Oryctolagus cuniculus: one gene and its partners. The protein of the gene in region 7 purifies or fractionates together with the protein of the main gene of each other region. This does not show direct contact. Links are inferred from orthologs where the notes say so. Each region holds a gene or a part of one and is shown on either strand. Other genes may lie near its edges.

Region 1 (4,239 bases), on a different chromosome or scaffold from region 7:
TCGGTCAAACAGCTCAAAGGCCTCCTTGAACTCTGGGGGACACAAGGAGGGATCACTGTAGTCCAGGACTCCCATCACTCCCAGACAGAGGCAGGCTCAGCAACTATGTGTGACAGCTGGGAAGAGCCAGGGAGGAAAAAAGAACTATGTGGCAGGCTTCAAGGTCAGGGCCGGGGTTAGGGGAACAGCAAGAGGATCTGACCGGGGCCTTGGGACTGGACAGTGGCTCAGGAAACCAGCTTCTCCTCACCCTCCAGCTGATCCTTGTTAAACTCGATCTGTGGAAGAGAGCAGGTGAGGAGAGATGACGAGGATTATGCAGTCCCTCTGAGCCTCCTCCCCACCAACTGGCAGCCACCTCTGTCCCATTCCCAGCCTTAGGCCTTGGGAGAATCCCAAGAGGAGGAATTACAGGGGGGAGGGTTTCCTGGGAACAGGGTTAATCCCATGCCACCTGTTCCCCTCCCTCCACTGCCCTGAGCCCTGCATCCCTCACATAACTGGGGGCTGAACAAAGGCTAAATTTACCCCTGGCCCCCAGCTGTGATTGTCTAACAAGTCTGCCCTCTTCAGCCTCCCCTCCTGGGGTTCAGAGCTGCAGCCAGAGGCAGGGAACAGCTCTCTCCCTTCACCTTGAAACTGTCCTCAGAGCCCCCCAGGTGCGCCTCATCTCAGGGTCCCTGCCACCGACAGCGGGTGAATGTACACATACACACATGTGTAATAGCTTCCAGGGAGAGAACAGCAAAGACCACAGCGGCGTTATAAGCCTGAGTGCTTCCAGATGGGGCGCACAGGGAAAACTCCAACCTCATCCCAGTGCTCCCGGGTTCCCTGCCTTCTAGGCACCTGCTAGTCCCCAGGGGCAGTATCCCACCCTTGACCCACCCCCTCCAGATCCTAGCCTCACTTTCCAGGGACTCACCACCACTTTGGAGAGATCCACTGGGGGCTCCTGGGGTTTCTCGGGGGCTGCTGGGACAGCAGGCTCAGCCTTGGGCTTGGCTGGAGGAGCCCCCGCTGCTGGCTTGGCAGCTGGCTTGGAGACGGCAGGCCCTGGGGCGGGCCCTGCTGGTTTCTTCACGGGAACATCTTTCTTGGGAGGCATGATGTCCAGTGGCCACAGGACAATGTGCCGATGGGGGCACCCATCTCTGTTTAAATAGCCAGGGAGTCTGGGATGTCAAGAGGCGGGGGCAGGAGCAGGGAGCCAGCTGGCGGTGGTGGCGAGGATGAGGTGGAAGAGAGATATGCCTGCCTGCCCTCACTCCCCTGGCCTCCCAGGGTTCAGGACTCCTGCCCCAAGGTTTTCTTTTTTCTGCTCACCCCTCCCCAAGAGCTGCCTGAAACAATGTTCCCCTTGGGCAGCCAGGGAGAGGAAGCCGGAGACTGCCCAGAATCTGGGAGTTAACCTCCAGGGTGAGGACCGGCTTCTTGCCAGTCACACGGAGATAGGGATGAAGCAAAGGAGGGAATCCAGCAGCCCAGATAGGGGTGGAGGGGGGGCGGGGGCAGGGAGCCTAGCATGAATTGGGTAAGTTAAAGGAGGGTCTAGGTGAAAGGTGAAAAAATCAAGCAGTGTCACCCCCACCCCTGCCACTCCTCCCTGACCCTGGGTTAGCAGCAGTGATACTTGACTCCACATTGTTCTAATAATCTCTGATATGTGTAATCTGTGGGCCCCCGCTCAGCCCAGAACTGGAACTGTGCAAGGGATCAAGAAAGAATAGCAACAGAAAGAGGAGGGGGACTCCGCTTGCCTCGGTGGTGCCCAGTGTTGTGTGGGGTGGGGGTGAAGGTCGGGTTTAACGTTAACCCACTACCACCCTTCCAACGAAGAGACCTTTTATCCCAAGCCCAAGTCTGACAAAAGGCAGGAAGCTGGCTGAACCTGCAGGGACCCCCTGGTGGCACCTGGGGGTTACCGCCGGTTCTGGGAGACAAAGGGCCTACGTTCTCTAATCCAGAATGATGTGGGAGCACCTGTGCGTGCCCTGAGTTGCTCACCCCCGCAACCAAAGAAATAATAAAAGCCCCACCTCAGGGGCCCAGGTCACAAACCTTGCTGGGGGCGCTGGGCCAGGGTCGTGGGGGGCGGGGGAGTTTGAGAGTGGGGAGGGATTGCTGGATACTTTTGTTCTGGGGGTGCAAGGGGTGAGAAAAGGATTAAAGTAGCCTTCTTAAAGGAAGACAGTAATGAATTCATTTAGGCCCTGGGGTTCAGCGATGCTGGGTCTCCCATTTGCAAAAGCTCGACTCATCTCATTACAGCAAATTGTCCTATTTCTGGAAAATAAGGAATCATTCCTCCAGCGGGGAATACAGCCATAGCATGCATACACACACACACCCAACCCTTAAAGGAAAAAAGCCCTCCCTGGTCCCGCAAAACTCACCCTGCGGGGTCCGGGTGAGGGACGGGGACGGGGGCGGGGGCGGGGTGCACCGCGGTCCCCGGCGCTCAAGGGTTAATTCTGGCGGTCGCAGAGCACGCCGGGAGTTGTAGTCCCTGGCGCCCGCGGGCTCACAGGAAACAACGCGCCGCCGGCAGTGGACGGGGGCTTCCGGCTCGGCGCGGCTTCCGGCTCTGCGAGTCACCGCGGCGGTTGGTGACTCAAGCACTTTGGAGCGCGGTTTCTGTCCCGGAACTGAAAGGCAGCAATTTACAGTCCCCACCCCTCACCCGAAACCTCCGTACCGAGGCCTGGTGAGTTCCCCTGTTAACACGTCTGCCGGCGAGAGGACTCGGAAGCGAGGGAACGGTGGGGCTGCTGCAGGCGACGCGGAGGTCGCGGAGCCGGAAGCACTTCCTGCGGCCTCTGTCGGTGCCCCGCGCAGTTTGGTGGAAAGAGAAGAGAGGCCGATGCATTACTGTGTCGTTTGGGGCAGTTAACTTGTCAAGTTGTTTTTGTTGTTTTATGATGAGCTGGTCACTGAAATAAATGTTAAAAAATGTACAGTTAAGCCTGGTCACCTGCCTCAGATTTCCAACTCGAGGTCTCCATGGATCCGAAAATGCTCACGGCATCGCAAAAATAATACCCTGGGGTTGGCGTGGTGCTGGCGGCCGGGGCCACGCGCAGGTGTGCAGGGAGCCGAGCGTCAGCGGGGCGAGGCGCGAGTGAACTCTATGGGTCGTGTGAGTGGTGGTTGTGGGTGGGGAAAGCTGCTCGGAAGAGAAGAAAGGGTTTGTACCGCAGACTTAGCGGCGGTGACGACGCTTGCCGGTTCCCGGAGGCCGCGCAGGTGAGGGCCTGGTGAAAAGGCGGGGAGCCTGAGAGAGCGCCCAGCGTGCTCAGGTTCGACTCCCGTTCCCGCCAGCTGTGGTCCTGGGTTCTCCCATCAGAGTCAGAAGAGTGTGCCCCACCGGGAGCATTAGCTGTGTTAACATTTGTAAAAAAAAAAAACAGTGTCTGGCAGCCGAAGTTTTGTAAAGTGTTACATGAATGTGCTTTAGTCTTCCCAGTACATGACATAGATGGTGTTTTCCCCATAAAAACAATTTTTTTTTTTTTTTTAATTTGAGAGAGACAGAGCTGTTTCATGTCCCAAATGCTCTCAACAGCCAGGGCTGGGTCAAGGCTGAGGCCAGCAGCTGTTAACTCAAGCAGGTCTCATGTGAGTGACAGGAACCCAGTGAACTGAGCCATCATGACTTGTACTATCAGGAACCATGGATCAGAGGCCAGGTATTGAGCACAGGTAATGAATATGGGACATAGGCTCTAGAACCACTAGACCAAATGCCCGCCCTGGTGTTTCCCCAGTTTACACCCAGGAAGGATCAGTAGGTATGAAGGCTTTGAGAGCAAGAAGGACTATATTTCTTATAAGTGTTTGATTCATTTTTTTCTCCCCCTTTCTCCAATCTATGGCCAACTCTTAGCACTTTGCCAAATGTGAGTGGTTATGGCATCTGCTGACTTTGTAGCATTTTCAGTCTGTTTTATAGGGAAATGCTGCAATAGAGAGAAGACCCTTGGCAAACACACACTGAAAGACTGGCCTTCATTGTCTGTGCTGTGCCTGTCTTTCGTTCATAAATAACACAGCTGGGAGCAGACATTCAGCCTAATGGTTAAGGCACCTGTGGCCCACATTGGAGTGCCTGGGTTTGAGTCCCAGCTCTGGCTCCTGAGGCCAGTGATGCCTCAAGTAATTGAATCCTTGCCACTCAGGTGAGAAACCTGGATTGAGTTCTTCACTCCTGGATCTGACCCCAGCTTAGACCTGTTACTG
Region 2 (3,944 bases), on a different chromosome or scaffold from region 7:
ACTGTGTGACATTTCCAGGCCTGTCCTAGCTGAAACAGATATCTTTGTTTTTCAAAAGGTGTTGCTTTTTGGCTATCAACAGTAGCCTGCCCTTCCCAGCTTCTATTTGAATCTCCTCTCCAAGCACAAGATCACCTCTTTCAGAGCTCCATCCTCCAGTGCCCTCTCCTCTTCTCCCCCTACCCGATTCCCCTTTCTAAACAGCCAGTTTTTAAATTTAGTCTGTGCCCCTTCAGGTGTACCCCCAGCCTTGCAGTTAGTTTCAAATAATTTGACTTCAGACTCCATTCGGGTCTTTTCCATTTTTGGATTGTGAATTTCCTGACCTATCATAGCCACGTATGTAATAAAATGATTTACTGTAGTAACATGATTACTGTTCAATCCACCTTGTGCTGCTTTATGATTCGATAAAGAAAGAAGCTCCAAATTCAGGAACCAAAAAAATACTTTGATTGCAAACACATTTTTTAAGTCTGTTCCATTAGTCAAAATTAATTTTCCCCTCATAGCCAAGCACATTTAAAAAATATACTCTCCAGTCATAAACCTAAAGCTCAACTCAATTTTTTTCAGTAATTGTAAATATTTAATGTACGATATAAATAAGGTATGACCTGTTTGCGTGAATTTCTTTTGTTCCGGAAAAGATCGGTAGTACGATTATGTAAAAGTTAAACATCTCAGTTTCTCATTTCAAACCGTCCGGGAGACTTTTCAGGAGCGAGTGGGAAACGTGCACTTCTGCGCGCCTGCTTCTCCGAGTTTCCATCCACACTGACAAGATGTCACCAAAAGTATGCCACACACAGGCAGGCACCGCGCAGTCTCTCCTTGCGTCTGAATGTGAAAAGTCCCTAAACCGGAGCCGGTTTTCATCCGTTCTTCCGCGACTCCGGGCTTCCGAGGCCGTGGTCGAACGTGAGCAGTGGGGGCAAACTGGACTTGCGACCGCGCAGACATCTTTCTGACGCCTGGGTTGCCCATACCGGGCATCTGTCCCTGCCTGCTCCTGGGCTCGCTCCACCCCTGCCGGGTGATGCACAGCAAAAACACGCGCTCTTCCCAGGACGCCTCTGGCGGGTGCATCGGGCTGGGCAAACGTGGCCCTAGGTGGCAGGTCTCTGCCCAAGCAGCGGAGCCCGGGGGCAAGGCTGGCGCGCTCGCCCTCGGTTCCCCCTGGCACTCCCCGCCCGCCGCTGCCTGAACCTCGGGGATGTGCCTGGACCCGGCGCCGCGCACGTCCCGGCCAACTGCGCGCCCAACAAGCCCCTGGCGCGCGGCCAGGAGGCTCCCTCCCAGCCACCGCCCGCCCCCCCGCCAGCGCCTTTTTTTTTTTTTTTCCTCCCCCGGTACAATACAAGATCTTCCTTCCTCAGTTCTCTTAAATCACAGCCCGGGGAAACCTCCTCAGAGGCTCCGTGCAGCCACGCGCCAGCATGTCTGGGGGCAAATACGTAGACTCCGAGGTAGGCTATGGTGGGGACGCGCCGCCCGGGGCGCGCGGGGAGTGCCTGCCCCTACCCGCTCCCACTCCACAAATATTCCGGCTGCTTTCCTCCTTGTCCCGGCCCCGTCTCCACTTGGGAGCACTCCTGTCGCGTTGGCACCTTGGAGGAATGGGCCTGGGCGGGGAGGTGAAGAGAAGCCAGGAATGTTTTCTAGGTTCCTGCTGGGGAGGAGGCCAGAGGAGCCCGGGAGATAGAGGGTGGGATGGGGGGGGGGGGGACAAGGGTCGCAATCCTCAAGTTTGGTTTGCCCCTTAGGGGCACGTATTCTACATGCGTGCGCCCTTGTTGCGAGACCCTCCACGGAGCTGAAGCGCTGGAGGCTGGGGTGGGGGCGGGCGTCCTTTATCCGCAGTCCTGGGGACAGTCCCCGCGAGTCCCCGCCAGGAGCCTGGCGCAGCTGCCCCGCGGCGGCGCGCGTGTGTTTGCTCTCTCCAAAGTTCTTGGGCCGTCTCAAGGACCCTTGCCGCCTCTCGGCGCCTGTCGGGGGTGCTCCGCGAGGGGTGGGCCTCCTCCTAACCCCAACCACCACCCGCGCTGGGTGCGGACACCCGGTTTTCCCAAACGCAGCGGTTGCTCCGCCACCCGCCGGCAGCCTGGGAACGACCTGAGGGTGGTGGGTCCGGGCGGTGGTGCAGGTGACAACTACTTCCAGGGGGATCTGGCACTTGGTGCGGACCAGAGGTGGGGGGGGGGGGCGTGGGAGCTTGTGACAACCACCTCCCCACGCAGGTCGGGGGGATCCGAGGAGGGACAAGCGAACGCCAAGGAAAGGGGTGCAGGGGACGCGGGCAGGTGCGAGAGGGACGCGGAGCAGCAGCAAAAAAACGGGGACGTTCCGTGGCTCTGGAGGTTCCCGCCGTATCTTCAGGATTAAGCAGGAAGGGGTTATGGGGCCGGGAGGTGACAGGGGTCCGGGGCGGAGAAACGGAGCAGGTGCAGGCCTCTGGGTATAGGGGCCGGAGCGCAGCCTTAGATCGGCCCCCTCCCCGCAGTGGTCCCCGCGGGGCGACGCGGGCCAGGCGTGCGCGGGGCGGGGGCCCGGGCTGGCCGCGCCGCGGGGTTTGCCCTGACCCCTGGCGGCGGGCGGGGGAGGCCGGCGCTCCCTGCCTGGTACCGAGGGGTGTGGTGTCGTCTCCGCGATCCTCTTAAAAAGCTGGCGGCGCGCAGGAGTTTTCTGTGCGCTGAGCGGCCGCTGTCGACGAGGTCAGTTGGATTTCGAACTCCAAGTGCCCCTGGTCGCTAGGCTGCCTTCTTCTGACCGCTTGCTTTCCTTTTTGAATTATTCTTCCCACTGCGGTTGTCACCCTCCCCAGGGACATCTCTACACTGTTCCCATCCGGGAACAGGGCAACATCTACAAGCCCAACAACAAGGCCATGGCCGACGAGGTGAACGAGAAGCAAGTGTACGACGCGCACACCAAGGAAATCGACCTGGTCAACCGCGACCCCAAGCATCTCAACGACGACGTGGTCAAGGTAGGCTGAGGCGCCGGGTGAGCCAGGGCCGTCGCGGGAGGGGGCGCCGTCGCCGTCGCAGCCACACAGCACCCCTCGGGCCAGGCGCTGGGCACCCTCCAGGGACTGCGACGCCACGCACGGTGTCCCGGGGGCTCCATGTGCCTGGGCTCCTGCTGTGGCCAGAAATGTCACCTCGCCCTTCTCCCCTGCTGCTGGTGGGTTCAGCTGCACTTTAGCTAACGCGAGTTCTGTAGGAGTTTGTACTTTGCAGCCTGGCAAATGAACCTCCTCAGCAAGAGACCAGCCGGCACTCCTTGGGAGGCTTGTGTTCCACTCTCAGGCTGAAGGTCCAGTGACAGGTCCCGTTATACAGGGAATTAAGGCAGTCAGATAATTGAGGTGGGTCTTGTGCCAGGGTGAGTCAGAACACAGAACCGTTATGTTTCCCTGGCTAAAATCATCAGAAGTGGTTTTCCTTAAAATAATTAAATCAGTGCAAATGCTGAGGACGCAGGATACAACCAGGAAACTGAGCAGATTTACAAAGCCAAAAATAATGTGTCCCCTCTTGATTTCCCTTCTACACTCCTCTGGTTGGTGTAGCAAGCTGCTTCTGTAATGTCTCCCTACGCCAGGTTGGATATCCTTGTTCTACTTTCAGGATGTGCTTGGTGAGATTAAAAGCAGATGGACCAACTGGATCATTGCATACATTTAAGTCTGACTCTGTCAGTTTTTTTTTTAATTATTATTATGTTATTCAACTTTGACCCTTTTGGTAAATTTAGTTGGAGGAATTTATTATCTGAAGCCATCTGGGTTGGGAAATCATGGGCTTGAGCCATCCTTGGCAGGGGGTTCTCCTTGAGGATTGGGGAAGGCCAAGGAGACTCCCAGCTCCCAGAATGAGTGTGTGAAGACCCAGTTCTGCAAGACCCCAGGCAGGTGAGCAGTTCCCACCCACCTGGCTTCC
Region 3 (4,300 bases), on a different chromosome or scaffold from region 7:
ATCTTAAACATGTGCAATTTATTATGTGTCAATCATATCTAAACAAAGATATAAAAATGATTAGCAAGGAAAAATATTTGTTTTAAGTAAAACAAAAAAATCCCCATAATAACCAAGTAAAGTCTGTGTCAGGGATGCCGTCTTAGTACATGCATTTATTCTCTCATTTAGCACTTTTAAAATTATTAATTTTTATTTATTTTGAAGGCAGAGAAAGAGAAGGAGAGAGAGAGAGAGAGAGAGAATTTCCCATCTGCTGATTCACTTTCCAGAAGCCCACAACAACCAGGGCTGGGCCAAGCCAAAGCGAGAAGCCCAGAACTCAACTGGGGTATCCCATATGGGTGATACAGACCCAAGTACTTGAGCCATCACCTGCTGCCTCCCAGAGTATGCATTTGCAGGAAGCTGAATTGGAAACAGAGCCAGAAATTGAACCCAGGCACTGTGCAATGGGGTTCAGTCATGTCAAATGGCATATAACCACTGTGCCAAATGCCCACCTGCATCCAGCACTTTTGAACATCTACAATGGTGGATACTAGGGACTCTGCTGGAAACACAATGTTAAACAAGTCCCCTACTCTAGGGTGTTTACATTCTAGTGGAGACAGACGAAACGGTAATAATAGACTGTTATAAGTGTTGTGACAGGGCAAGAAGGGACAGCTTTGCAAATGTTTAGCAGGGTTATCTAAACAGATTATTCAATAGTAGATGGTAGAAGCTGTACTGAAATTGACTGTGAAACTCATGAATGATCAGATGTCTCCCATGCACACGAAGGGGTAGTGATTGTGAATGTCATATATTTGCAAGCAGCCTTGTCAGTAATTTCCCAATAGTGTGACTATTTCAACTGGTTCTAAAAACATTTAGGAATTACAGCTTAGTTTCTTTCCCCCAGAGCAGCATTTTAAATGCAAAGTGCTTCTTGTGGGGAAACATGAACCATCCACACTGTAGTGTAGATAGAGGACAAATGCTCTTTTGTTTCCAAACGTTCTGTTTTCAAGTGTATTTTCGCCGCTTATGTGACTGTGTCTGAGCCTTTGCTAAGGGTACTGCAGCTGGATTGAGTAGTGGAACCAGGTCCAGAAAAAGAATTGCTAAAGAATGCAAGTAAACAGGATGTCAGATGTTATCCTTAGCCTATTTCCCTAAACATAGCTTTTTGGCTGCAAAGTAAAATGCCATTCTTCTAGCTTCTGCTTATACACAGAGATGGCTGACAGCAGGCACAATCTTCATTTGCTTGGCACGTTGTCACCACGCAACTCAACATGTTTTGCGAGGAATGATCATGACACACCATCTCTGTGAGACAGTATGAGGACATCCAGCCATTTCTTGGTAGAATTTTCTCAGTTGACCTTCTTTGAGCTCGCCACGAGGCTCAGAGCTGTCTGACCTAAGAGCCAGTTGGCATCTTCCTCGTAACAGAAGCCAGAATTTCACTGGAGATAGGCTATTTATTTATTGACAGTGTTCTCCCAGACTGGCCCACAAATGTTTCATTTCCAAGGTCCCCTGAAGTGCTGGCTCACCTCTGTTTTCCACGCACACTTGCTTCCTTCTCTCTCCTCCCTCCCCAGCGTCCTTCTCACTTCCTTCCCTTACAGGCTTCTTGAACTGTTGAGTTTTTTTTTTTTTTTTTTTTGGGAGGGGTGTGTGTGTTTCTTCTTTTTTTATCGTACTGAATTTGTTTTGCAGATTTTGAAAAAGAAAACTGGTGTTACCCAGGATTTCTACATTCATTCTTATCTGTTTCCACATCTTTGAATGTGATCCCTGGGCTTTTAGAATCCCACATTTTGAGTGGGGTCACTGTTGTCTGAGAAAAGTTGCTTTAAACCTTTGCTCTGCAAGCACCAGAAGAGAACTCAGAAAAAGGAAGACGACAGCAGATGCAATCGCGGATGTGGCTTACTCCTTGCAGCTGCCCCAGTGAGCTGTTCAGACTGTACTGTCCTCAGTAATGAATCCAGAAGAGCGAATCGTGACCTGGCTGATATCTTTGGGAGTTTTAGATTCCCCAAAAAAGACCATCTGTGATCCGGAGGAGTTCTTGAAGTCTTCGCTGAGAAATGGGGTAGTGCTGTGCAAATTGATCAACAGACTTATGCCTGGCTCTGTGGGAAAGGTAAGGTCAATTTGCAGTGTCTTTGGGATTGCTTTCTACCACACAGCAGCAGTTCATGGACTTGGAGATTTTATACTACTCAGGTCATGGGAATCTCCTACTTTAATACCTCTCTAGGAGTTCTACATTCTTTCTTACTGGTTTTCTCTCTAGAAAAAGTCAGACAGTGAAATCTTGTCCTTTAGTAATTGGATCTCAAATATTAATATAGTAAACTACCTGTTATATTTCTGGCAGTAGGGGACAAGGGGAGCACTTGTATCACAAGGTTGCTCCATTATGGAGACGTATATGTTACACTTGCCTGGGTACTGAGGAAGATTTGAACTTGGAGGTACACAGGAGTCTACAATATAGTGGAATGATTTATAATAGATTTTGATAGTGTTTCAACAGTTTCACTGAAAATCAATGTAGATTTTCTGTTAAAAACTATCCATTGAAGGAGAGACTATTTAGCAACTAGGAAAAAGAATCCAAAATGTCACATAAAGTTTGTAGAAACAATAGAAGCCTAATGTGTATTTCAAGTGCAACGTGCATTCAAAGTGAAACTAACCTTACCCCTCTTTAAAAAAAATCCAAGATTTTTAAAGTTGGAAGCCCATGATCACAAGAATGGATAATTTCTGAAGTAGACATTTTATGTAAACTTAAACGTAGACACCTACAATTATTTTCTTAAGTTACCATAGAACATGATTGTGAGTACAGCTTTTTTGCTTTCTTGAACTAGCATGCATTTTTATTGAGCAAGGAGATTTACTTATAATTTTGTAAACTTGATAAAGAGTGCTAAAATGCAGAAAAATGTAAAATATAGAGAGCAGCAAAGAGAAAATGTAATTTTACTAAGTTCTCATGGGGAGGGAGAGGGAGGTCATAGGTATTACTTCCTTGTTTGAAAGCAGGAGCTAAGCTCAAGAAACTGTCTTGTCTCTCCATGGTAGTATCACCATACTTGGGCTGAAGGCATGAGAAAGACGTTTGAAAGTAGAAATGGCTTGAGACTAGAGCTTCGGTGACATTTGAAACTGTTTAGATTTTTGCATCACTTCCTTTAGTGGTTATTTCTCTTCCTGGATTGAAAGCAACGTTGCCTCCTGCCTTAAAAAAAACCTACCTTAGTTAATTATCAGCACATAATGAATACGGTCTGTTTGCTCTGGGATGACAATCTCCAAGTGACATATGACTCTGTTTCTCTAGTATTGTCTGGAGCCCCAAACTGAAGCCCAATGCATCAACAATATCAATGACTTCCTGAAGGGATGTGCAGCCCTTCAAGTGGAGGTAAGCACACTCAGGTTGCCTTCCTTGTTGCCAACATGATTTGCTGTAATGAGGATTGATAGTAAAAGTATGTGATTTATTTCTCACCATCGGTGGTCACCAAGTTAAACAGGTAGCATTTTCTAGAAGCCAGAGTTTGGATTGATGGTCTCCAGTATTGGATTGCTATCCTGTCTTTCCCAGAAATCAGTTGCAAAAAAACAAACAAACAAAAACACCTAAAAAAAAAAGCCTTTTAAATACAGCATCACAACCCTCAAAACAGGCTTACACTAAGAGAGCTTCTGCGGCGTACTACCCTACTAAGGGGAACTAAAAGTGGGCCACTGGCTGCTACAGTAGGCTCAGTGTTATCACCTTGAGTTGGGAAGAGAGCAAAGGCCATTATCACTGTGTCTCATTAACGCTTTAAAACACAACCTGGAAAAGCTTGGAGGGGACAGCGTTTTAGCATGGTAGGTTAAGCCAACATTTGCTTTTTTCATCCCTTATGTGCCTGGGAAGACAGTGGAAGATGGCCTATGTGCTTGAGCCCCTGAAGCCCATAATGAAGTTTCTGGCTTCTATCCTTGGTCTGGCCCAGACTTGGTTATTGCAGCCATTTGGGGAGTGAACAAGCAAATGGAAGATTCTCTCTCTCTCTCTCTCTCTCTCTCTTCTTCTCTGTTGTTCTGCCTTTCAAATAAATAAATCAATATTTTTTCTTTTTTTTAAGTTTTATTATCTTTTTTTTAACTTTTATTTAATGAATATAAATTTCCAAAGTACGATTTATGGATTACAATGGCTTCCCCCCATACCGTCCCTCCCACCCACAACCCTCCCCTTTCCCACTCCCTCTACCCTTCCATTCACATCAAGATT
Region 4 (3,500 bases), on a different chromosome or scaffold from region 7:
TTTTTTTATATTTAAAAAATGGAATAATAATTCTGATTCACTGAATTGTGAAGATTAAGTGAAAGTTAGTGAAAGCATCTAGTACAGTTAGTCTTTAGATTTCTTCCATAGCACTTTTTAGTGCCAGTAGAGAAAATGAGTTTGCCCCTTCTCTGTATTTTAATCTGGTGTTTATAAGTGTACTTGACTACCAGTCATGTAGTCCTTTAGCAGTGAAATTGCTGGAAGTGTAGTTGTGTTGGGTCCGTTGCAGAGCCTGTCTCAATGCTCCACATGTGCCGTGGATCCAATACTCATATTGAGTGAATTTTACTTGGAGAATGATAGAAATACTATTTTATTGAGAAGAATAATTTAAGAATTGTTATGATTGTTCGGTACTGGCATTGCTATAGTATAAAGGATTTAAGGCCCACCTTAAATAGAAAAGAAATTATGTACTTTTTTAATATCAGGAAATCACTCTTAAGATTGCAGTATTTTGGTACATTTCTTTTTTTTTAAGCTTTATTTATTTATTTGAAAGTCAGAGTTACACAGAGAGAGGAGAGGCAGAGAGAGAGGTCTTCTTTCTGCCGGTTCACTCCCCAATTGGCCGCAACGGCCGGAGCTGCCCCAATCCAAAGCCAGGAACCAGGAGCCTCTTCCGGGTCTCCCACGTGGGTGCAGGGGCCCAAGGACTTGGGCCATCTTCTACTGCTTTCCCAGACCACAGCAGAGAGCTGGATCAGAAGTGGAGCAGTTGGGTCTCAAACTGGTGCCCATATGGGATGCTGGGACTTACAGGCCACAGCATTAACCTGCTGCACCACAGCGCCGGCCCCTGGTACATTTCTTACTTTAACATGCTACACATTAAAAAGAAATCAAGTTATTTTTAGATTTATTTTAATTTATTTGAAAGGCAGAGTTACAGAGAAGGAGAGACTGAGAGAGAACTTCCATCTGCTAGTTCACTCCCCAAATGGTCACAATGGCCAGGGCTGTGCCAGGCCAAAGCCAGGAACTGGAGTTTTTCCAGGTCTCCCACATGGGTTCAGGAGCCCACTTTGGCCATCTGCTGCTGCTATCTCAGGGACCTTAGTAGGTACCTGGTTTAAAAATGGAGCAGCCAGGTCTCGAACTGTGCCCATATATCCATATGATACTGGTATCGCAGGTGGTGGACCCATCACACCACAGCACCAGCCCCATGAGGTTATTCTCAAATCATCATACACATGCTGGGGCTGTGCTAGCTACTGGTGGTGCTGATGTGCAAGAGTCAGTCTTTAAGAGCTTGTAGTTAAGTAGAAATTATTACAGTATAGATTAAAGATCCTGGCTCCTGCCTTCGGATCAGCACGGTGCGCCGGCTGCAGCGGCGGCCATTGGAGGGTGAACCAACAGCAAAGGAAGACCTTTCTCTCTCTGTCTCTCTCTCTCACTGTCCACTCTGCCTGTCAAAAATTAAAAAAAAAAAAAAAAAAAAAAAAAAAAGATGGAGAATAAAACTGATCACCCAGTACTTCAAATTGTTTTCCTTACAGTTTGTTTTACTGTGGCAGTACATGTATAGTATTTTTAGTATATATACATAGAAGTCAACAATGTTTAGCCCAAAATGCCACTGATAACCAAGTAATTTCTTCAGAGTTATTGTTGGGAGCTCACAAGAAGAAATAAACCAAAATGGAGAAAAAAGTTACAGATGAAAAGAAAAAGAATCTTAAGTTGGTGGGACCAAGGATGGCTGATAGAGAGAAGAAAAAAGATACACTTGTTGGGAAATGTACATACAGTTTATGTGTCATAAGACCTTCTGTGCCTTAGAAATCAAAGGTTGAATTAAAACCCATCTGATTGTAAAAATTAGACACAGAATGATAAAGGTAAATGTCACAATAGAGCATTTAAAATATAAAATATGGCTTCTGATTTATAAATTACTAAGGTCACACAACCTCTTCAGCCAGTGACTTTTAAGCAAATATAGTATATTAATTTGCCCTTATATTGTCATTTTAGTAAAATCAAATCAATTCTCCATTTTTGTTTTAGTGTCTTTACAAGATATAACTATGAGAAAAGCTTTCCGAAGCTCTACCATTCAAGACCAGCAGCTCTTCGACCGCAAGACTTTGCCTATTCCCTTACAGGAGACGTACGATGTTTGCGAGCAGCCTCCCCCTCTCAATATACTCACTCCTTACAGGTCAGTAGGTTAATAAATGAGAACATCTGCTTTTATCTCAGACTTCAGATTTAAATGCTAAATCCCCAAATACTGTTTATTTCATCAGGCCTCTGGCCAACACAGAGAGTTCTCCCTCCCCACTAACTTTCGGAAACCTTTGCTTTATTCATGAGATAAGTTTCCAAGGTTCTAGCATACAAAAGATAAGACCTATTCAGAGAAGTTGTTTTGACAAGTATTGTTAAGAAAAGCCGCTAACAAATTTACTAACGTTAATGTAAAGAATCAAAGAGTTGTTACCCTTTTTATTTAATTTATAATCAAAGGAAAAATGAAGAGTTTAAAATGCCACGCTTTTGCTTGTTCTGACTGCTTTTGATCTATTTGTATTAATGTTTTACATAATAGGTAGTAGGTCTTTTAAAAATACCATTTAAACTAATTCAGCCTTTCTTTGGAATCCTTTTACATGATTTATTAAATGTATAATTGAAGATGTACAAAACATATCCTGGTATTCAAATAGTTATGTGAAAGTGCAGGTCATTGACTAAGTTTTACTGTCAGAATGACTATTCAGTGCTATCATTTGGATTTAGTAAGATTTTGTGCTGGCAAAAATTATAAAATTTTTCTACTACAAGTGATGTTACTATCTTTTCAGACTTTTTACCTTTGGCAGAACTATTTGTAATTATTCTAATGTCCAAAGGCATTTCAGAAAATTTGGTATGCAGAAGTTAGATATGAAATTTGCCCAACTGTATTTTAAATTATTAGTACCAACTCTGAAAAGCATTTGGTTAATTTCCATTCTGATCTCTGAGAAATTTTCTAGTGCTATGATATTCTAATTTATTTTGGCAGTATTTTAATTCATTCTATGTTTTATTAACATGAGAGAAAAATTTTAGTAAAATTATTTCTATTCTGGTTGTTGCTCTGTGTCTTACTTTTGTGTGTTTTAATTGACATTTTGTGTTTCAGAGATGATGGTAAAGAAGGTTTGAAGTTTTATACCAATCCTTCATATTTCTTTGATTTATGGAAAGAAAAAATGTTGCAAGATACAGAGGATAAGAGAAAGGAAAAGAGAAAGCAAAAGGTATTATAAGAGATTCAAAAAAATTGCAGTCATTTTTGGTGTATTTGTTTTATTGGGGCTATATAATCAAATACTGGTCTTTGTAAGATCGTAGTCTAATGGTGAACAAATGAGCATTTAGATTATTATACCATTGGGTAAGTATGATAACAGAGGTATATATGGAGGATTTGTTTAGCACAATGTAGCTGGCAGATGGCACTGGTAGATACTTCCAAC
Region 5 (3,500 bases), on a different chromosome or scaffold from region 7:
CAAGGGGGCACCAAGGAACAGGAAGTGACTTTGATGTGCACACGGAAAGAGACCAACTTTGGTCAGCTTCCCACAGCCTTGCCTGGATGCTCCACTACCCCAGGGCAACGCAAGGTCACCCCAGGGCAAAGCGTCGGTGCTTAGGGTAAGGTTGGGGACTGAAGAGGACCTGCCCACACACAAACAGTGAGGACCTCCTCACACACAGGACAGAGGGGACCTGCTCACACAGGACAGGACAGAGGGGACCTGCTCACACACAGCACAGGACAGAGGGGACCTGCACACACACAGGACTGAGGGGACCTGGTCACACACAGGACAGAGGGGACCTGCACACACACAGGACTGAGGGGACCTGCTCACAGGGGACAGAGGGGACCTGATCACACACAGGACACAGGGGACCTGCTCACACACAGGACAGAGGGGACCTGCACACACACAGGACTGAGGGGACCTGCTCACACACAGGACAGGACAGAGGGGACCTGCTCACACACAGGACAGAGGGGACCTGCACACACACAGGACTGAGGGGACCTGCTCACACACAGGACAGGACAGAGGGGACCTGCTCACACAGGACAGAGGGGACCTGCTCACACACAGGACAGAGGGGACCTTCTCACACAGGACAGAGGGTACTGCACACACACAGTACAGAGGGGACCTGCTCACAGGGGACAGAGGGCACCTGCTCACAGGGGACAGAGGGGACCTGCTCACACACAGCACAGGACAGAGGGGACCTGCACACACACAGGACTGAGGGGACCTGCTCACAGGGGACAGAGGGGACCTGATCACACACAGGACACAGGGGACCTGCTCACACACAGGACAGAGGGGACCTGCACACACACAGGACTGAGGGGACCTGCTCACACACAGACCAGAGGGGACCTGCACACACACAGGACTGAGGGGACCTGCACACACACAGGACTGAGGGGACCTGCTCACACACAGGACAGGACAGAGGGGACCTGCTCACACAGGACAGAGGGGACCTGCGCACACACAGGACAGAGGGGACCTGCTCACACAGGACAGAGGGGACCTGCTCACACACAGGACAGAGGGGACCTGCTCACACAGGACAGAGGGTACTGCACACACACAGTACAGAGGGGACCTGCTCACAGGGGACAGAGGGCACCTGCTCACAGGGGACAGAGGGTTCCTGCTCACATACAGGACATAAGTCACCCACAAGACATCGACTGCATGTGGTGGGTGGGACCAGGAGGCAGCCGGGCCTGTTCTCCCTCCTCTCCCCTCCCATGCCTGGTGGCAACCACAGAAGGTGCCCAGCTCTGGCAGACGCCCGTCCTGTCTGCCCACCCACCGCCTCGCAGTGGCCTGTCACCTGAACTGCTGGTACGTCTCCGACAGGTAGCTGTTCATGGACGACAGGTGCTCATTCTCCCCCTCAAACAGCTTGTTGGAGGCCGCGTGCTGCAGCACCTTGGCCACGGAGCCCAGGTTCCGGCGCTGGTCGGGGCTGATCTGGCCCCCGGCGGTCATGTCGATGATGTCGAAGCCGTCGGGGGCCACGATGGCGGGGTTCATGTAGCGGTAGTAGAGCAGGTTCCCCACGACCTGCCCAGAGCATTTGAGAGACAGAAATGTACACTGTGGGCGTTTTGCTTTGTTTGTTACATAATCTTGTCTTAGTTACATTTCCAGGAGAAATCAGACCACTTCTGATATCTTAGCTACATTTCCAGGAGAAATCAGACCACTTCTGATACGATCCCAACAAGGAGCTCAGCACAGGCTGTTGAGGTGACCACACACTGGAGAGGACGTGGTGGTGACCACATACTGCGTAGGCCATGGAGATGACCACAAACCACCGGGAAGTGCAAGGTGGTGACCACACACTGCATAGGCCATGGAGATGACCACAAACTGCCGGGCAGGCCATGGTGGTGACCACACACTGGGCAGGCCGTGGAGGTGACCACACACTGCATAGGCCATGGAGATGACCACAAACCGCTGGGCAGGGCATGGTGGTAACCACACTCTGGGCAGGCCGTGGAGGTGACCACACACTGCATAGGCCATGGAGATGACCACAAACCGCTGGGCAGGGCATGGTGGTAACCACACTCTGGGCAGGTCATGGAGGTGACCACACACTGCATAGGCCATGGAGATGACCACAAACCGCCAGGCAGGGCATGGTGGTAACCACACTCTGGGCAGGTCATGGAGGTGACCACACATGGCCAGGCAGGCCGTGGAGGTGACCACACACTGCTGGGCAGAATGTGGAGGTGACCACACATCACTGGACAGGCTGTGGTGGTGACCACAAACTGGGCAGGCTGTGGAGGTGACCACACATGGCCAGGCAGGCTATGGAGATGACCACACACTGGGAAGGTCCTGGTGGTGACCACATACTGCGTAGGCCGTGGAGATGACCACAAACTACCAGGAAGGGCAAGGTGGTGACCACACACTGGGCAGGCCGTGGAGGTGACCACAAACTGCCAGGCAGGCCATGGTGGTGACCACACACTGGGCAGGCCGTGGAGGTGACCACACACTGCATAGGCCATGGAGATGACCACAAACCGCTGGGCAGGGCATGGTGGTAAGCACACTCTGGGCAGGTCATGGAGGTGACCACACATGGCCAGGCAGGCCGTGGAGGTGACCACACACTGCTGGGCAGAATGTGGAGGTGACCACACATCGCTGGACAGGCTGTGGTGGTGACCACAAACTGGGAAGGCTGTGGAGGTGACCACACATGGCCAGGCAGGCTGTGGAGATAACCACACACTGGGCAGGCCATGGAGGTGACCACACACTAGGCAGCCCTGGTGGTGACCACATACTGCGTAGGCTGTGGAGATGACCACAAACCACCAGGAAGGGCAAGGTGGTGACCACACACTGGGCAGGCCTTTGAGGTGACCACAAACTGCCAGGCAGGCCATGGTGGTGACCACACACTGGGCAGGCCGTGGAGGTGACCACACACTGCATAGGCCATGGAGATGACCACAAACTGCTGGGCAGGGCATGGTGGTAACCACACTCTGGGCAGGTCATGGAGGTGACCACACATGGCCAGGCAGGCCGTGGAGGTGACCACACATGGCCAGGCAGGCTGTGGAGGTGACCACACACTGGGCAGGCCGTGGAGGTGACCACACAGCACCAGGAGAGCTAACAGAAGCTTTTGGTGAGAAATGCGGCCTCTCTCCCCAGGCGCTCATGGCAACGCACTTCAGTGGTGCCTGGGCTCTCCAGACTACCCCCAGCCGAGCAGCAGTCCCGATGGCCACTGCACCACCAGTCACCCGGGCCGTCTCCCGACGTGGTGGCTCCTCCCCGGGTGAGCTAAGGCGGGGCCACCCCCGGAAGTCTACCTTCAACAGCTCATCCTCCGAGGCCTCGGGGAATTTCTCATGGATGGAGTTCTTCAGCACTTTGGCTACATACCTCAATCCATAACTACATGGAAAACAGATGAC
Region 6 (3,500 bases), on a different chromosome or scaffold from region 7:
TCGGGGCCTCCAAGCAGGTGGGCACTTGCTAAGGCCTGTGGGCATGTGCTGGCCACAGCTGTAGCCATGTGGTCATGTTCAGCGCAGCCTGCAGGTGGACACGGCCATGGGGCCCCGTGGAGGCATGAACTGCCCAGGTGCCAAGCCCCAGATGACCCAGCCTCCATCTGTGTCCACTCTTCCAGTTGGGATGCCAGCTGAAGCTTCTCCCAAGCCCGGGAGAGAATTCTCAAGTTTCAACCCCTGTAAGTGGGTGGGGGAAGGGACGGAAGCGTTGATTGCACAGTCCATGAATCCCAGACTCCCACTGAGTCTCATGCACTTTGACTCAGGCTCTGTTTCAAGATGGAGCCAGGTGGCAGAGCGGACCTCAGCAGGTTTGGGTGAAGAGCAGTCCCAGGACAGGCCCCAGGCCATCAGAGCACAGTTTCCGCCCCTCCCTGAGGCTGCCAAGGCCAGAGGCGGGGCCACACGGCCCCCTGAGTGCCATCAGAAAGCCCTCAGAACTCACCTCGGTCAGATCGCAGAACCTTGACCTGGCTGTCAGCATCTGAGCCAGGCCCAGGACGGCCACCGGGAGGCCAGCAATTGACCCTGGTCCAAACCAGCTGCCTTTCTCTCCACAAAGTGGCCACCGGGAGGGGACAGGTTCCAACAAGAGGTGTAAGGACAGAGTCGGGCACCAGGGGTTGTCCTGCATGGGCCTCTGTGCCTGTGGCCAGGCGTGCACCCCTGGGGCAGGGCCAGGGGTGACATCGGTGCCCGCTAGTGTTCCCTGGGCCCCTGGTACTGCCATGGAGCCCCCCATCTCCCAGCCCCCAGCCTCCCACCACCCAGTCTCCCAGAGCTTCTGCCTAAGTCTTCCCTCCTCTCCGCTTCTCCGTACTCCGTGTGCGTCGGCAGCAATTCCTGACCTCTCACTGAGGCTCTGTGAGTCGGACCTGCAGGCTCCACCCTGCGTGTCCCCAGTGAAGCCCCCTCTGCTCTCTGCCTCAGGGGCCCGGCAGCAGAGGCCGGCAGAGGCGCCTGAGCCATTGCCGAGCCCGCAGGCGCACTGACCCAGTGACCCGGCACCTCCAGAGCTCTCCCAGCAACCCGGCTGACTGGGACCCGGCCGTGCGGCGCAGGAGAGTTCCGGAAGTGGCCCTGTCGCCTGTGGCTGCGAGTCACTCCTTCTCCACTGAGCCTCACCCCTCCTCCCAGCCAGGGCCCTCTCCTTCCAGCCTCAGAGCCCCGGACTGGCGCTGGCTTTGCCCATCCCCTGCAGTGACACTGCAGACCCCGTACCACTACCCAGGCAGCCACACTCCAGGCCCACAGGTCAGGCCACAGTGCCGAGCCAGGCCACACCTGCCTGGCCCTCCTTGGGTGGTGGTGGGGGAGGGTGTGGGCTGGAGCCCTCCTGGTGAGCAGGGCTCATCACCTTTTTGCTGACTCCCGCCTCAGAGTGTTGTAGTAGCTGGGGCTCTCTGAGGCCTGATGGCCTGAGACCACGTTGTAGGAAGTGTGAGAAGGAGAGAGAATCCTACTCAGTACCAGCGTCGCACGAGGGGAAAGATGGAAAGCAGCAGAGACGAGGTTCTCCATGCGCACGCGCTCGCCAGGAGATGCCAGTGTCAGGGGCAGGCTGGGGCCCTGGAGCTGAGCCCTGCCTGGTCCCTTTTGCTCTTGGCCCTTGGAGGCTGCCCTGTGTGTCTCGCATGGTGTCTGACTGGTTGCGGCCGTAGCCTGCTGCTCCAGGACACCTGTGCAGTAGCTGGCGTCCCCGGGCTGTGTAAGCAGTGTGCTGTGAGCCCCCGCATTCGTGTAGTGCAGCTCCTGCCACAGGCACTGCGTCGGAGGTGTCAGCCGCAGAGATGCATTCTCTGCCGGTGCTGGGGGCCAGAAGTCCAAGGTCAAGGTGTTGGCGCCTGTGCCGTGCCCCTCAGCTGGATGCTGGCAGCCTGGCAAGGCTTGGCATATGGAAGCAGCACACGTGCTGCCTGTGTGTGTCTGTCCATCACCCTTTCTCAGAAGGACATCAGCTGTCGTTGTGGATTAGGGCCCACCCTGTGGACCTCATCGCGATGCAGTCATTGGCACAGAGCCTGTTTGCAGACAGCGTCGTGGCCTGGGGTCGGGAGGGTTAGGGCTTGAGTGCGGGAATTCGGGGAGGGACAGGGTTCAGCCCAGTTGCAGACCTTGTGCTCTTTCTGTCCCCGCAATGCAGATAAGTCCCCTGCGGCCCCAGAGACCCAAGAGCCAGGTCCTCAGCGTCGTCGGGAGCGAGCGGCGCTTCTCCGTGTCCCCGTCATCCTCGCCCGCCCAGCAGACGCCCCCTCCGGTCACACCGAGGGCCAAGCTCAGCTTCAGCTTGCAGTCCAGTAAGTGGGCGTCCGTTCCGCAAGTCCCCTTGACCCGAGGCCTTGGCTTCAGCCCAGGTGCCTGACGGACTGCAGAGGTTGGGGGCTGGGGGCGGCAGGCTCCTGTTCTCCTGGCACAGCCCCCTTCGCTCCTGAGCCATGTAGGGCCCGTGGCCTCCGGGTGTCCACAAGAGACATGCCAGGCAGTGTGCAGGGGCTAAGGGGCGGCACTTACCGCACAGCCTCCAGGGCTGCCCCAGCCAGCGACCACAGCCCGCAGCAGGGAGGCAGCCCCGGCCCCTCGTGTCTCGGGAGCCTGAGCCGGGTGTGGGCTGGCAGCTTCTTCACGAGGCTGATGTGGACCATCTGCCCCACGCCTCTCTCCCGGCTTCCGGCGGCTTCCGGCGGCTTCCGGCAATCCCACCGTGGCTGGGCTGGGGCCCCACGGTTCCCACTGTGTCCTCTCCACTCCAGTCACTGCCTAGGGGCTCCACCATCCATCCAGGGTGCGTTCAGCTCAAGGCATCTGCAAAGACTGTTCTGAGGGTCTGCGTGCACCCCTGAGATCCATCTTCCGGAAGGGTGCTGTTCATGCCGCCGGAAGTGGTACCCGGCTTTTGCCACTGTGTGACGACTCATCCGAGGGGACTCTGGGTAGGAAGGAGGTGGCAGGGAGTGGGGGCTGAAGCCGCACGGGGAGCCCGCCCCTTCCTGTGGCTGAGAGGGGTCCACGGCAGGAGAGCAGCGTGCCCTGCGCCAGGCGAGGGGCAAGTGCCCTTACCCTGGTTTGCTGTTGTCGAAGGGGAGCTGGAGAGATTCTGGGGAAGTGGGGTGGTGCCAGCTGCACCAGAGGCTGCTGAGAGAGAGAGAGAGAGAGAGAGCTGGGGGCAGGGGGCCTCCCCACATCCGTATGCTATCACCACATGATCTGTTTCTAAAAAACATTAACCTTTTTTTGTTTTAAAAAATATTTCAAAAAGACACTATTGCAAAATGCTAACGAATACGCTTTGTTGGTTCCTCAGTACTTAAATGTAGAATTACCGTAAGAGCCAGCAGTTCCACTTCTAGGCCCGCACCCCCAAAAACTGAAAACAGGGACTCAGGTAGTTGTGTGTGAGCATCCCTCAAAGCCTCAATCCCAGTAGCCAAAAGGTG
Region 7 (4,187 bases):
GCTTGGGCCCCTGCATCCACGTGGGAGTCCTGGAAGAAACTCCTGGCTCCAGCTGTTGTGGCCATTTGGGAAGTGAACCAGAGGATGGAAGACCTCTCTCTCTCTGTCTACCTCTTTCTGGAACTCTTTCAAATAAATAAAATTAAATTAAAAAAAAATAGCCAGCTGATCCCAGTTATAAAATGGTTAAAACTCAGCTTGCTTCCAATTTGTGGTATCTCCACCTTTTGCCTTCACTGTTTAAACACCTTTAACTGAAACTCGGGGCCATATTTACAGCTTTAACAATCTGATAAAACAACATTCCAGCAGTATCATCAGGAATATAGCTTACCAGTCGAAAGCAGAAATATATTCTTGGTACGGAAAATTTGGGATTTGGATTTTTACTGAAGAAATGTTTGCTACGTATGACCCCTGAGAGTAACAGTGTAACTTTTTTTTTTTGGCAAAAGTTCACTTTACTCCAATACTACTTAAGACAGTCAAGAGTCAACATAAATGTCAAACCCTCATTAAAATACCGTGGGGACAAGCCTTTGCGACACTGGCACCCCACAGCGCGGTGCCGGGCTTCGATTCCTTGCTGCAGGCCCCAATTCCAGCTTCCTGCTAGTGTGAACCCCGGGAGTGGTGGTGACGGCTCATGTAGTTGGGTCCCTCCTGTCCATGAGCAAGACCTAGAATGGGTTCTCAGATGCTGGTTACAGGTATGTTGGGGGTGAGCTGGTGGGTAGGAGCTTCTTCTCTCTCAAGTAAATTTTAAAAATTAAATTAGAAAGCAGACGGGAAATTCCAGGGCGGGAACAGTGTTTTGAATACTCATACTCCCTCACAGAGCCTCACACAGTGCTGGTCCTGGTCACTTCCAGGCAATCAGTAGAGGCCTGGCCCCTGGGAGGGGCTTGCCAGCCAGCCCCCTGCATGATTTCACTGAACTTCCCAAGGAGGAACCTCTCTGGGGGAGGGGAGGAGTGATGTGCTCTCAGACACCTCCCAACTAAGTGGTGAGATGTGGGCAGGACAGACACACACAGCAGGCATTCAACAAGTATTCACTGGAAGGAACAGCAGTACCAGCAGGAGAGGGCTGGGAGCTCTTCGTGTCAAACACCCTGGGTCCCTGCTTTAGAAACCTTCAAGTCAGAATACTACATTCCATCCCTCGGTTCTGAATTACCACAACTTCACTTAGAAAGAGAGCTAAGCATATCCTAAGCATAATCGATGGAGCATTTATAACTTTTAAGGGAAATCCAGGTCATTTTAAACGTTCCTAAGAAAAAGTGACGTTTTGCTGATGCCTGACACAAAAGCATGGAAGAATTCACTTAAAATAATCCGCTGACTTCATTTTCAATCCCACTTCACGAACGCTTTTCCCCAAGTGCCAAAGTAAGGTTTTCTTTTAAAAAGGTAACATAGCATACACATTCCTAAATAAATGAAATTTAACAATTTTTATTTGAATACGTAGAACTATACAGGGTTCACCTTTCCCACGTGTGACACGAATCCAACAGACATGCATCTCCCCAGAAAAACCAGTGTCCTAACTGTCCTCCTTGCATCCGAAATGCACAAACAATCTCAAACGTCTCCCATCAGTTCTCTAAGCTAAGAGATCACACATTCACTAAGAGGCATAAAAAAAAAAAAAAAAAAAAAGATAAAAGTCGGAAGGCCACTTTTGGGATATGAACCAGAGGTGTCCAGCGCACTCTTCCTCCGACTCTGGACTTGGACCAGTTGCATTCAGAGCTGGGTGAAACTGGTAGTAATTCTTCGAGAGTCCCTGTCCCACACTAAGCTACACAAGCAATGCTGAGACGCGCGATTTTGCTCGGATCACACTGGGATTCTTGTTTATAAGGGAGGGAAAAACACACACACACACACACACACACACAACTGCATAAGACCGGTCTTGTCCTCCTCTGGGGCCTGTAACCCCCACGGGCGGTCCTGGAAAGAACTCCATCCATCCCTGCCGCGCTCAGCCAAGGCCTCGGTTTTTTAATTTTTATTTTTATTTATTTTTTTAAATAACGACCACATTGCAGGAGGTCAGCTTCCGTCACACCTGGCCCCTGACAGCATCTTCCAAACTTTGTCCACGCCAAGGGCGCCACCGACCATGTCGAAGAACCCCACAAGTGGCCAAGTTACAAGTGGCAGCGACGCGGCCGCACGCTGGGCTTCCGGTCACTCAGACCACTGGACCTCCGCCGCCCGCCCCGGCTCCCCGGGCTGGAGGGGTGGGGGTGGGGGGCGACCAGGAGGTTTAGGGTAAATGCCAGGGAACGGCCCCTTCTCGCCAAAATAAAATAAAATAAAATAAAATGATTTGCACAGGCGCCCGAGAGCCGTGCCAAGCCGGGCAGGGTGGCGGGCGGCGTCCGGCCGCCCCGCGGGCCCGGGAAGGCGGCGAGAGGGCGGAGTCCACTCTTGCCCGCGGCCGGCCAGCGGCAGGGCCCTCCCCCCACCAGGACGCCGCAACCCGGCCCGGGACGACGGCGGGTGAGGGGCGCCCGCCCGAGCCCCGCGCAGAGGCCGCGCGGCGCCCACGCGACCCTCGGCGAGCCCCCGCCGGCCCCCCAGAGCCCCCGGCCGCGCACTCACCCGTCTCCCACCACCACACACTTGATGGCCTGCATCTGGGCCGCTCGCTGGGCCGCGGCGGCGGCGGCGGCCGGGCGCTGAGGCGGGAAGCGGCGGGCGGACGGGCGCGCGGCGACGGGCGGGCGAGCGCGCGGCGACGGGCGGCGGGGCGCGGGATGCCGGAGCCACTGTCCACGCCGCCTCGCCCTCCGCGGACTGGAGGCACAAGCCCGGCAGCAGCCACCACCCAAAACGGAGGAAAACTGCAGAGAAACAGGAAATGGCCGCTCCACTCACATCCGGCCGCCCCTCCCCCGCGCCGGCGCCGCCGCTCCCAGGCTCCGGGAGGGGCCGCTCCCGCCCGAGCGGCTCCCGGGGTTCCTCGGGGCTTCGGGAGCGCTCGGGAACGCTCGGGAGCGCTCGGGAGCGCTCGGCTCCGGCCGCGGGGGCGGGGCGGCCGCCATCTTTCCCGCGGGCTGGGCGCGGCCGGGTTTGGACTGGGAGGGGAGGCGGGGGTTCCAGGAACCGCGCTGACGTCACCGACTCCCGGCCCGGCCGTCCGAAGGGCGTGGGTTGTTCCCCCACCTCTTTATTGTCCTGTGTGTATGGTCACTGTCACTTAGGCGATGACATAAGGGCCTTCTAGAAATTTCCGAAGCTGAAGCTATATAAAGAAGGAAAAAAAAAGAAACCATACCATTATTGGGCCATAATCAGTATTCATTCCATCATATTTCTTTTTTTTTTTTTTTTAAGATTTATTTATTTGAAAGAGTTACAGAGAGAAGATGGAGAGAGAGAGAGAGGTTTTCCACCCGATGGTTCTCTCCCAATTGGCCGCAATGGCCAGAGCTGGGCTGATCCAAAGCCAGGAGCTTCTTCCAGGTCCCCATGCAGGTGCAGGGGCCCAAGGACTTGGACCACCTTCCACTGCTTTCCCGGGCCACAGCAGAGAGCCACATCGGAAGTGGAGCAGCCGGGTCTCGAACCGGCGCCCATATGGCGCTTCAGACCTGGGCTTTAACCCACTGCACCACAGTGCCAGCCCCTCTCCATATTTCTTTTTTATTTTATTTATTTATTTATTTATTTATTTATTTATTTTTGACAGGCAGAGTGGACAGTGAGAGAGAGAGAGACAGAGAGAAAGGTCTTCCTTTGCCGTTGGTTCACCCTCCAATGGCCGCCGCGGCCGGCGCTCTGTGGCAGGCGCATCGCGCTGATCCGAATGCAGGAGCCAGGTGCTTCTCCTGGTCTCCCATGGGGTGCAGGGCCCAAGCACTTGGGCCATCCTCCACTGCACTCCCGGGCCACAGCAGACAGCTGGCCTGGAAGAGGGGCAACCGGGACAGAATCCGGCGCCCTGACCGGGACTAGACCCCGGTGTGCCGGTGCCGCAAGGCGGAGGATTAGCCTAGTGAGCCGCGGCGCTGGCCTCCATATTTCTTAATACACACAGTGAACATGTTTCAGGCAAGATTGAAAAATCATACTGAATCTCTAATATTTTTAATTGCGGCTTACTAGTCCATTGTACACATGTACCTTTTTAAAATTTTACTTTGTTCATTTATTTTGATTTTACT

Evidence for each region.
Region 1: the proteins of RAC1 (region 7) and myosin light chain 6B purify together in Homo sapiens (affinity purification with mass spectrometry; 3 studies listed by BioGRID and IntAct, with this or other methods). This does not show direct contact. The link is inferred for Oryctolagus cuniculus from reciprocal best matches to the Homo sapiens genes RAC1 and MYL6B.
Region 2: the proteins of RAC1 (region 7) and CAV1 purify together in Homo sapiens (affinity purification with western blotting; 4 studies listed by BioGRID and IntAct, with this or other methods). This does not show direct contact. The link is inferred for Oryctolagus cuniculus from reciprocal best matches to the Homo sapiens genes RAC1 and CAV1.
Region 3: the proteins of RAC1 (region 7) and ARHGEF6 purify together in Homo sapiens (affinity purification with mass spectrometry; 3 studies listed by BioGRID, with this or other methods). This does not show direct contact. The link is inferred for Oryctolagus cuniculus from reciprocal best matches to the Homo sapiens genes RAC1 and ARHGEF6.
Region 4: the proteins of RAC1 (region 7) and WASF1 purify together in Homo sapiens (affinity purification with western blotting; 3 studies listed by BioGRID and IntAct, with this or other methods). This does not show direct contact. The link is inferred for Oryctolagus cuniculus from reciprocal best matches to the Homo sapiens genes RAC1 and WASF1.
Region 5: the proteins of RAC1 (region 7) and IQGAP2 purify together in Homo sapiens (affinity purification with mass spectrometry; 5 studies listed by BioGRID and IntAct, with this or other methods). This does not show direct contact. The link is inferred for Oryctolagus cuniculus from reciprocal best matches to the Homo sapiens genes RAC1 and IQGAP2.
Region 6: the proteins of RAC1 (region 7) and DOCK1 purify together in Homo sapiens (pull-down; 6 studies listed by BioGRID and IntAct, with this or other methods). This does not show direct contact. The link is inferred for Oryctolagus cuniculus from reciprocal best matches to the Homo sapiens genes RAC1 and DOCK1.

What each region holds. Positions count from the first base shown.
Region 1 is NC_091442.1:58,960,184-58,964,422, reverse strand, and holds the start of myosin light chain 6B, read right to left. Parts: upstream 2,801-4,239; 5' UTR 2,699-2,800; exon of another isoform or gene 2,569-2,698; intron 2,554-2,568; exon of another isoform or gene 2,397-2,553; intron 1,155-2,396; 5' UTR 1,109-1,154; coding exon 889-1,108; intron 279-888; coding exon of another isoform or gene 251-278; intron 33-250; coding exon 1-32. UniProt on the Homo sapiens protein: Regulatory light chain of myosin. Does not bind calcium.
Region 2 is NC_091434.1:151,971,519-151,975,462, forward strand, and holds the start of CAV1 (caveolin-1), read left to right. Parts: upstream 1-1,144; 5' UTR 1,145-1,439; coding exon 1,440-1,469; intron 1,470-1,882; exon of another isoform or gene 1,883-2,146; intron 2,147-2,567; exon of another isoform or gene 2,568-2,714; intron 2,715-2,824; coding exon 2,825-2,989; intron 2,990-3,944. UniProt on the Homo sapiens protein: May act as a scaffolding protein within caveolar membranes. Forms a stable heterooligomeric complex with CAV2 that targets to lipid rafts and drives caveolae formation. Mediates the recruitment of CAVIN proteins (CAVIN1/2/3/4) to the caveolae.
Region 3 is NC_091453.1:114,649,163-114,653,462, reverse strand, and holds the start of ARHGEF6 (rho guanine nucleotide exchange factor 6), read left to right. Parts: upstream 1-1,500; 5' UTR 1,501-1,978; coding exon 1,979-2,143; intron 2,144-3,352; coding exon 3,353-3,436; intron 3,437-4,300. UniProt on the Homo sapiens protein: Acts as a RAC1 guanine nucleotide exchange factor (GEF).
Region 4 is NC_091436.1:61,398,742-61,402,241, forward strand, and holds part of WASF1 (actin-binding protein WASF1), read left to right. Parts: intron 1-2,040; coding exon 2,041-2,194; intron 2,195-3,163; coding exon 3,164-3,281; intron 3,282-3,500.
Region 5 is NC_091445.1:1,137,875-1,141,374, reverse strand, and holds part of IQGAP2 (ras GTPase-activating-like protein IQGAP2), read right to left. Parts: intron 3,481-3,500; coding exon 3,396-3,480; intron 1,606-3,395; coding exon 1,373-1,605; intron 1-1,372. UniProt on the Homo sapiens protein: Binds to activated CDC42 and RAC1 but does not seem to stimulate their GTPase activity. Associates with calmodulin.
Region 6 is NC_091446.1:4,383,026-4,386,525, reverse strand, and holds part of DOCK1 (dedicator of cytokinesis protein 1), read left to right. Parts: intron 1-2,209; coding exon 2,210-2,363; intron 2,364-3,500. UniProt on the Homo sapiens protein: Involved in cytoskeletal rearrangements required for phagocytosis of apoptotic cells and cell motility. Along with DOCK1, mediates CRK/CRKL regulation of epithelial and endothelial cell spreading and migration on type IV collagen.
Region 7 is NC_091450.1:40,075,988-40,080,174, forward strand, and holds the start of RAC1 (ras-related C3 botulinum toxin substrate 1), read right to left. Parts: upstream 2,801-4,187; 5' UTR 2,658-2,800; coding exon 2,623-2,657; intron 1-2,622. UniProt on the Homo sapiens protein: Plasma membrane-associated small GTPase which cycles between active GTP-bound and inactive GDP-bound states.